Linked DNA regions of Drosophila melanogaster. Changing the gene in region 1 together with any one later gene gives a genetic interaction. Each region holds a gene or a part of one and is shown in the gene's direction. Other genes may lie near its edges. The genes, in order: Hr4 and Cyp6t3.

Region 1 (5,093 bases):
ACGTTCGTGGGTGTCAACGCTAATACATTGTTTCGCAGCACTGGTATGTACATAACCATCGCAGATGTCGTGGAAATATAGCTAAAAAGCGAAAAATACGAAATTAAGGACAACATTTTTAATTTCAGACGCAACAATCGGCTGGCCCAACAAATAACGGTACACAAGATTATCCACTTTTTTTTATCACAATTGCACTGGACTTATAGCCAAATATTTTTAATCATGAGAAGTGAAAGGCAAGCACATATCTAAATCTAGCTCGAAACCAGATGGATGCTCATCTTGCACACTGTCACCAGTGTTGGTAACCGAGTGCATTGTGAGCGGAACGTTCCGACACCTACTTTGTTTATTTATTGTTATTAATTAGGAAGCATGCCCCTCGTGGTGATTACGGGCCTGCCAGCCAGCGGAAAGAGCACACGTGCCCGCCAGCTACGGGATCATTTCGTGGAGCGCGGCAGGAAGGTGCATCTAATCAGCGAAAACGAGGCAGTGCCCAAGGCGGGTTTTGGAAAGAATTCCCATACAGGTGATTCGCAGAAGGAGAAGGTGGTACGTAGCGATCTTAAGTCGGAAGCCTCGCGTCACCTTAACCAGGAGGATCTGGTCATCTTGGACGCCGGGAACTACATCAAAGGTGAGCTCTCACCAAGGTTCAGCTAAGGTTCGTAAACCACAACCAAAATTTCTTCCAGGCTACCGCTACGAATTGTACTGCATGTCCAAGGTGTCAAGGACCACCCAGTGCACTGTGTTTACCTGCATACCCCAGGAGGAGGCGTGGACCTTTAATAGCCAAAGAACGGCGCCGGATGAACTGCCTGGCGACAGTGAAAGAGTTCAGCCGGTGGACAACTCGGATGTTCCCTACACCAGAGAGACTTTTGATGCTCTGTGCCAGCGCTACGAGGAGCCGCAGAGCAACAACCGTTGGGACAGTCCGCTGGTGGTAGTCTTGCCCAAGGACACGCTCGACATGGAGGCCATCTACAAGGCCTTGTACGAGTCCCAGCCACTGCCACCCAACCAGAGTACTTATAATGTAAGCGTAGAGCTTGGCCAGAGTTGAAGACAAAATATCACAAGTAACTGCTTTGTCCATTCCGCAGGCACCGCTGGGAACAACCAACTACCTGTTCGAACTGGACAAAATCGTGCAGGCGATCATCAAGGAGATCCTCGGCGCCGTCAAGATCAAGGCCTTCGGCCAGCTGCGCATCCCAGGGAGCAGAAATCCCGTGAAGGTCGCCACTTCGATGAATGCCCTCCAGCTGAACCGCCTGCGCCAGAAGTTCATCACGAGCACGTGCCACGCCAGCCAGACGTCACCCACTCCGCTGGAGCAGGTGCCGCACTTGTTCGTGCAGTTCATCAATGCCAACACGATCGGCTGCTAGCACTGTGATTGCGACAAGACAAATGCTAAAATAAAGTTCTTACCTCGGGCAGCAGGATAATGTTTTTGGGCTGATGTTGACACAATTTAATGTGGAAATCAAATAAAATATGTAGCTTAAATACTAATATGAAAATCGTTTTTGATTATTATTATCACTATGGATTAATTAAGTTGACTCTTCTGGGTTCTTGTGGCGTACTTAATTGCAGTGCATTTTCTGCTTATTTATTATTTCGTAAGGAAAACAATACATTTTTGTTTGTTCAAAGTGAGTTCAAAACTACATGAAATCAATAAAAAAAAATTTACGTATTTCCATTTGAATTTAAAAAATATTTTCCTTCGCCTATAAAATCTACTCTACTTACAGCGAAAAAAGTTCAGTGAACGAACTTTTCTCTTGCGCAGCGGGAACGAAGAGAACCCTCTCTTGAGCGCGCTCTTCGGGCGCTCTCTTCCAACGCAGCGCTGCAGCACGAGATTGGGGCAAGTGGAGTGGTGGTGCCAGTCGGTGGTGGATTGTTCAGTGTATCCCACGAGCTAGTCGCGCGCGGAAAGCAAACGCTTCGAAAATCAAACGATATTTCCGTTGTGGGTTCCCAAGAAATAAAATAATAACACAAAACGAAATAACTATTTTTTTACGTTTTTTTTGTTGCCTCTCCAGGATTTTGTTGACCATCGTAGATTGGATATGTGAAACAAATTTTAAGGGCCTCCACTTTCTCTATCTCGCCCTAGCAGCAAGGTGCACTGTGTGTGTGTGCGACAATTTTACAAGTGCAACATGAATAAATGCAAAGAAAATTTTTTTTTTAATTGTTGACAACAAGAATTTGCAAGCATCTTCAAAGATCCAACAGAAAATTGGCTTGTTTTTGTTTTGTGTGTGTGTGTACGTGTGCGTGCGTGCGTGTGTGTGTGCGGCGCAAATATAAAAAAAATGCATAACGACACCTTGGCACTGACGCTATTTTTTTAATTCTATTTTTTATGTGTGTGTTCCGTTGCAGTTGACGTTTAACCCCCACCCACCCAAATAAAGCAAATCTAACTAAAGAGTCCTGCAAAAAAATCAACAGCTGCTTGATCTTGAAGCCTCCATATCTTGAAATCCTGCATCAGCCAACAGCCCCAAAACAAAACAAAACAAAACGAATGCAAATACACTAATGTGAACAACAACTAAATTGCTAGTGAAATGTTTTAAGCCAAATGCTGTGAGTGTGTAACAAAAAAAAAAAAAAAAAAAAAAAAAAAAGAAGAGTGATTCAAAGCAACCGCAAGCAATCAACTTGTAACGGTAGTCGGATACTCGCTTGCCCGCGGAGCATGGATATCGCCCCAGTTCCGCCACCACCATTATCGATATCCGTATCGCTTTCGGCTCCAGGATCAACGGTATTCGCAAACGCTGGCCACTAGAGAAGCGTCAGCCGAATGCCTCAAAGATGACACCGCTGCAACGGGACCAATTGAAGTGAGTACCACTAAGGATTCTCTCTAGCATTTAAGAAGTGCGAAATACATTCGCTTGGATTATCGATAGGACTAGGGAGGTTTCCCACACTAGATCATATTAGATCATGTAGATAGTGCAGACCGTTAGAATTAGAATTCAAGGCTCTGGCCATAAATACGAGTAACATGTACATTTCGCCAAATGGCGCAACACTTTAATCACTGACCAATAATCCGGGTGATGGCATTATAATTGGCCTACGGCTGCGGGGTTCTACAGCCCCATAGAGCCCAGCTGGGCTTAAGTTCAGCAGTTTAGGAGGCGCTTGGGCTTAGTCACCGCGCCTTAAAGTTCACCAAAAGGGGTGGGAGGTGGAGCAGCAGCAGCAGCAGAAGCACATGTTGGCCGGTTCGTTGGCCTGGCCGAGATATCTCGAAATAAAAAAGTTCGAGCTCGAGTTCGCCGCTCTCTGTTTATGAATGAAACGCAACGAGGAAGCGCGCGCAAAACTCAAAGCCAAAGAGAGAGGCAAAGAGAGCTGAGAGAAATGGCCAGAGAAAATGGAAATGGAAATGCGGAACAAAAACAATGAACGTAAACGTCTCTTGCTCTCTCTCTCTCACGCTACCGATGGCGAGTTCATCGACCTTTGCTATTGAAATTTTTGGGAACGCACTCACACACAGATACGAAACACGCACACGAACACAAGCATGTATGCGAGTGCTGCTTATTTACACATTGATAAACAATCGTTGATGCTGAATGTCGATGACTACGATTTTAATGCCGCTAAACCCCAATTATATTAAAGGCTTGCAGATGCCCTTTCTGGCCAAGTTTCCATATTGTATGTGAAATGATGTTCGATTTGCGATAAACCAAACACGCAAAAAACGCGACCGCAAATAAAGGGTTGTTCGCGTATGTTTATAATAGCTACCTTCTTAATTTTCTTGTTACATTTTTGTAAACAAGTATTTCGAAGTATTTGAAATATTTGTAAGCTATCAAAAATTATTTAAAATTATGTTGTGTCTGACTCCTGTTTGTGGGAAGGGCATCGAAAGTGCGGCGACATTTGTGCCACCCATTTATTGGCTGGTTTCTTCTTCCTGATTGCGATGTGTGTGTGCTTGTGTGTGTGTGTGTGTGTGTGTGTGTGAGTAGCGGGTGGGTTGGCAAACGCACGATAACAACGCCTAGAACTTGGGGACTCTCCGCTTGGCACGGGAAGCGAGGGGGTGGCATCCAGAAATGGGGACTGGGGCCATTGGGCATTGTTTTGTTTCTGCTCCCTGCTTCTTCGCATTACGACTGCCGCTTGTTACCAAGTCCCAAATGACTCTACATTGCTATATGTACATGTGTGCCTGGGCGCAGGGGAGTAGGCGGCAGTTGATTAAGGGGATTTTAGATCCCAGGACGAGTCCTCGCAGCTCGGACATTCTCGGGAATAGTAAAGGCAACAAAACCTGGCTAACTTCAAAGGGTTCTTGGTTCGGGGTTCCTGGGCTTTTTGGACTTTTTGGGGTCTCTGCACCACAAAACTTGAATCCCCTTTGCACGCCACTGGAATTCTTGTGCGAGTGCTGTATCTGTGTGTTCGTGCGAGGTCAATGACCAAAAATGTAGTGACAAGGGCGTCAGAGTGATTCCAAAATTTGTGTATATTTCGCCATTACAGCAAAGAAACAAGGAAGAGACCGTAAAAAAGGGGCAATGCTTTATTCTGGTTTTGTGTCTGTTTTCTCGTTGCTCTGTTGATGTTTTTCGTTTCGGGTATTTCTGGAGAAGCAGTTAGAACTTACCCTGTCCAGAGCCACAAACGTTGAAACCTTCAAAATCGGTTTCAATGTCATGTAACCCCCGTTTACATGGCTTACCCGTGCGCGAAAGAGACAGACGGACGGCAGGGGTGGCAAAGGTTTGGGCAACGCAAACGCAATCACACGTACGTTGGGCGCCCAATTATGGGAATATATGTATGTACATATGTATTGGGAAATGCCCATGCAGGCAGGAATCCGGGAAACCGAAAACCAATGGCTTTCAATCCCGCATCCCGAATTCTGACAGCTGTCAAATGCCGAAAGCCATCTTAAATGGCACACTTGCGGTGCGAAGTAGATTCCAGTTTTGGTGTTTGTCTTTAGCTGCTTCAAATATTCAGGGTTGTCGAAATGGAAGCTTAATGAAGGGATTTACCCTTCTTATATTTTACAA
Region 2 (4,324 bases), on another chromosome or scaffold:
CCTGGAGATATCCAAAACGTTCTCCGATGCAGCCATGCGGACCCAGGCCGAAGGGCATGTAGGTGTAGGGCGTGTGGAGCTTGCGATTCTCGGGCGAGAATCTTTCAGGCAGAAATTTTCGCGGTTGAGGAAAGTACTGGAAAAGGGTAGTCGTTGGGTAATGTATGCAAAATGTATCTCAACCCACCTGGGGATCCATGTGCAGGGCATAGCAGGGTATATAAACGGGCATGCCCTTGGGCACCACGAACTTTTTGTGGAACGGAGCCAGCGAGTAATCCCTCCCAGAAGTGCACTCGCGATCCAAAAACGGCAGTGGCGGATACATGCGCAGCACCTCCAGCAGAATCATTTGCATGAACTCCAGTGACTCGATCATCTTCAGCGTCACCTGACCTCCACTTTCGACCAGTGCATCCTTGATCTCCTCCCGCAGGCGCTGCTGTACGTCCGTATCCTTGGCCAACTCGTACATCGCGAACGCCATGGTCGAGGAGGAGGACTCAAAGCCGGCGGTGAAGAAGAGTACCGCCTGGGCGACCAGGATGTCGCCCTCGAACACAAATTGATCCTTGATACCCGATGCCTTCGCCAGCTGCGTGCTCCTACGGAACTCAATGAGAATGTCGATGAGATCGTTGCGCTTCTGTCCGGATTTTTCCCGCTCCGACATCACATAGTTGATGGTCTTGCGCAGAAAACGAGTGGCCTCCGCCGGCACCACCTTGAATCTAACGAACGGGACCAGGTGGGGCAGGAAAAACACTAGAGTGAACTCCGCGGCACGCAGCAGGTTGAACTCGAACACAGAACGTCCATGGCGGCGGAACTCGCACTTCGGATCCGTGAAACTGTTGGCACTCACTCCGTACGCTACCGTGGCTATCACATCCGTGGTGTAGAGAGCACACAGCTCCTTGGCCTCCAAGTCGAAGCAGCGCATCCGCTCGTTGTGCAGCGGCTGCTGGCGGAGATGGGCATCCAAGCTGGCGCCCACCTCCTCGATCAGGGGAAACATCTGCTTCAGTCGATTGCCGGTGAAGAAGGGCGATAGCTTCAAACGTACCTCCTTCCAGGCGGGATTCTTCAGGAAGAATATGTTCTGGGATCCCAAAGGGTCGCCCTTGGGGTCGGAGCTCGAGTACCGGTTGGAGAAGCCAGCGAAGTCCTTGACCAGGATATTTCTCACCATTTCGGGGTCTCTCAAAAGCAGCGCCGGCTTGTGGAACACATGGATGCCCACGAAGGGTTCGTTCTCCGCATCGGGATGGTTATACAATTGCGATATGAACTCCGCGGGACTCATTCGCATGTTGAGCAGTCCCATCAGGTTGCCCACTATCCATTTGGGCCTGATTTCGCGTACTCCCATTCGCCGCCAATAGGAGTAATGCTGCTGCAGCGCCAGAAAGGCAATCCCTATTAGGGATGCCACGAGGATCAGCAGTACCAGTTCCATGCTAACGCCACCAAACCCAATGTCCAACTGGCTGAAATATTGCCAGCACCATAGAGTTAAAGCTTTGGGTAAGCGGAAACTCTACTATGAGATCATCAAGATGATCCTGAGTGCAATGAATGAATCTATTTGTGAATGGAAGTGCTTGTCGAGATGTTAAGTGGGTCAGGTTCAACTTATGCATATGGAAATGCATTTCTTGACGGTCGTGAACAAGGTCTCCTCCTCATTCAAAAGAACGACTTTTTGGATCTTAGCTATCTTTACCTAATGCTGGTATATATTTCATAGTTATAATATTCTATCTTATATCTTATAGACACCATGCTGCTCATCTGGCTGCTGTTGCTCACCATTGTGACTCTGAATTTTTGGTTAAGGCACAAGTACGATTACTTCAGGAGCCGTGGGATTCCGCACCTGCCACCCTCCTCTTGGTCACCAATGGGCAATTTGGGACAACTTCTATTTCTGCGCATTTCTTTTGGCGATCTCTTTCGGCAGCTCTACGCAGATCCACGAAATGGTCAGGCGAAGATCGTTGGCTTCTTCATATTCCAAACGCCGGCGCTTATGGTTCGGGATCCGGAGCTAATCCGCCAGGTGTTGATTAAGAATTTCAACAACTTTCTCAACCGGTTCGAATCGGCGGACGCCGGAGATCCCATGGGTGCACTGACGCTACCGCTGGCTAAGTACCATCACTGGAAGGAGAGTCGGCAATGCATGTCCCAGCTCTTCACCAGCGGCCGTATGCGGGATGTCATGTACAGCCAAATGTTGGATGTGGCCAGCGACTTGGAGCAGTACCTCAACAGGAAGCTGGGGGATCGGCTGGAGCGCGTTCTCCCGTTGGGAAGAATGTGCCAGTTGTACACCACCGACGTGACGGGGAATCTCTTCTACAGCCTGAATGTCGGCGGATTGCGTCGTGGTCGATCCGAGTTGATAACAAAAACCAAGGAGCTATTTAACACCAATCCCCGCAAGGTTTTGGACTTCATGAGTGTATTCTTTCTGCCCAAGTGGACGGGTGTGCTGAAGCCCAAAGTTTTTACCGAAGACTATGCGCGCTATATGAGGCACTTGGTAGATGATCATCACGAGCCCACCAAAGGAGATCTCATCAATCAATTGCAGCACTTTCAGTTGAGCCGCTCATCCAACCACTATTCCCAGCATCCGGACTTTGTTGCTTCGCAGGCGGGTATCATACTGCTGGCCGGATTTGAAACCTCCTCAGCCCTGATGGGATTCACTCTCTATGAGTTGGCCAAGGCTCCGGATATTCAAGAACGACTGAGGAGTGAGCTACGAGAAGCCTTCATCTCCACTGCTACCCTAAGCTATGACACACTGATGACTTTGCCCTATCTCAAAATGGTGTGTTTGGAGGCACTGCGTCTCTATCCGGCTGCTGCTTTCGTCAACAGAGAGTGCACCAGTTCGGCATCCGAGGGATTCTCACTGCAACCGCATGTGGATTTCATAGTGCCACCAGGGATGCCAGCATACATCTCAATACTCGGCCTCCATCGCGATGAAAGGGTTAGATTTAAAACCAAAGGTGATGATTATCCCAACTTACTTATGTCAATCTAAATTCCAGTTTTGGCCGGAGCCCTGCGTCTTTGATCCCGAGAGATTCGGTCCGGAGCGATCTAGGCACATCCACCCGATGACCTACATACCCTTTGGAGCAGGTCCACATGGCTGTATTGGTAGTCGCCTGGGCGTACTCCAATTGAAACTGGGCATAGTGCACATTTTAAAGCAATATTGGGTTGAGACTTGCGAGCGAACAGTATCGGAGATTCGCTTTAATCCAAAGTCCTTCATGTTGGAGTCTGAGAATGAGATATACCTAAGATTCTGCAGGAGTAGTTTGTAGAGTTATAGGCATCCTAAAACAATCGGCTGTGATATGTAATCACCTTTGTTCCTATAATCTAAATAGAATAGATAATCTAAATAGCTCCCTAAAATTTGAACTTAAAACGAAACTGAAAGTATTTATGATAGTATATTTAAGGTTTCCTTACACTCCTGGATCAATGAATCACAATAGAAAATTATCTTCATGCAAGTTACTTATTCATTTTTGCCAAAGTTAGATGTTTTCTTTTAACGCTTACCCCCTTTTATAAAATCTACCCAAGGCAGATTTTTTGGCCACACACACATCCTTGAAATGCTTATATTAATATGACTTAATTCTGTGGATTCAACTTGCTTAGCTTGTCTTCGATGTCCTTGATGCGACACCGGATTTCCGGCGCCGAATCGCGCTGGAACTTTTCCAAATTCGATTCAAAGCTCTGCTTGATCAACCTCAGTGGCTGCTGGTTTCCGTTTCCGCTTCCGCTCAGCCGCTTGATCAGCATAAGAACGATGTTGAGCGCCTCCTTTTTCAAACCGGAATGAGGAACTCCAGCGGCAAGAGCAACTGCAGCCAAAACATCTGTGCATATCTTCTCGACAATGGCCTCTCGGGTTTTTGGCGCCGTCTCCTCTGTCTTGATCTTCTTCTCCTGGTTTATCTGAGTCAAATCCGGCACTTGAGCAGACTCATCAAAGACATGAAGTCTTTCGATGTACTTAGTGAGTGCTGCCAGCAGACTGACTTGCACTGGGCGAGTGCTCTCCGCCAGAATGCTCGTACAGTTTTCGGCAAAGAAGAGTTGGTAGCGGTGCTGCGTCTCGATGGAGTGACGCGGCCAGGATTTGCCCAGTGTCTCCCACACAACCTCCTTTAGTCGATTGAGTGTTTGAGCCCGCTTGTTGCGCTCGTCGGCAGACAGTTCCTGACTGGTGTTGGGCTCGTCCTCGTCGTCCGACTCCTTGCGCAGTTCCTTCTTTTCCAGC

The links.
Region 2: of Hr4 (region 1) and Cyp6t3, changing one suppresses a phenotype caused by changing the other (phenotypic suppression), as found in Drosophila melanogaster (one study listed by BioGRID).

Annotation. Positions count from the first base shown.
Region 1 is NC_004354.4:1,940,009-1,945,101, forward strand, and holds the start of Hr4 (hormone receptor 4), read left to right. Parts: upstream 1-1,931; 5' UTR 1,932-1,996; exon of another isoform or gene 1,997-2,418; 5' UTR 2,419-2,856; coding exon 2,857-2,885; intron 2,886-5,093. Other genes in the region: CG3587 (uncharacterized protein), read left to right, coding at 379-643, 702-1,048, 1,116-1,403. UniProt on the Drosophila melanogaster protein: Coordinates growth and maturation by mediating endocrine responses to the attainment of critical weight during larval development.
Region 2 is NT_033778.4:12,188,904-12,193,227, forward strand, and holds Cyp6t3 (cytochrome P450 6t3), read left to right. Parts: upstream 1-1,778; 5' UTR 1,779-1,783; coding exon 1,784-3,007; intron 3,008-3,068; coding exon 3,069-3,350; 3' UTR 3,351-3,533; downstream 3,534-4,324. Other genes in the region: Cyp6g2 (cytochrome P450 6g2), read right to left, coding at 1-136, 188-1,459; CG8858 (uncharacterized protein), read right to left, coding at 3,670-4,324. UniProt on the Drosophila melanogaster protein: May be involved in the metabolism of insect hormones and in the breakdown of synthetic insecticides.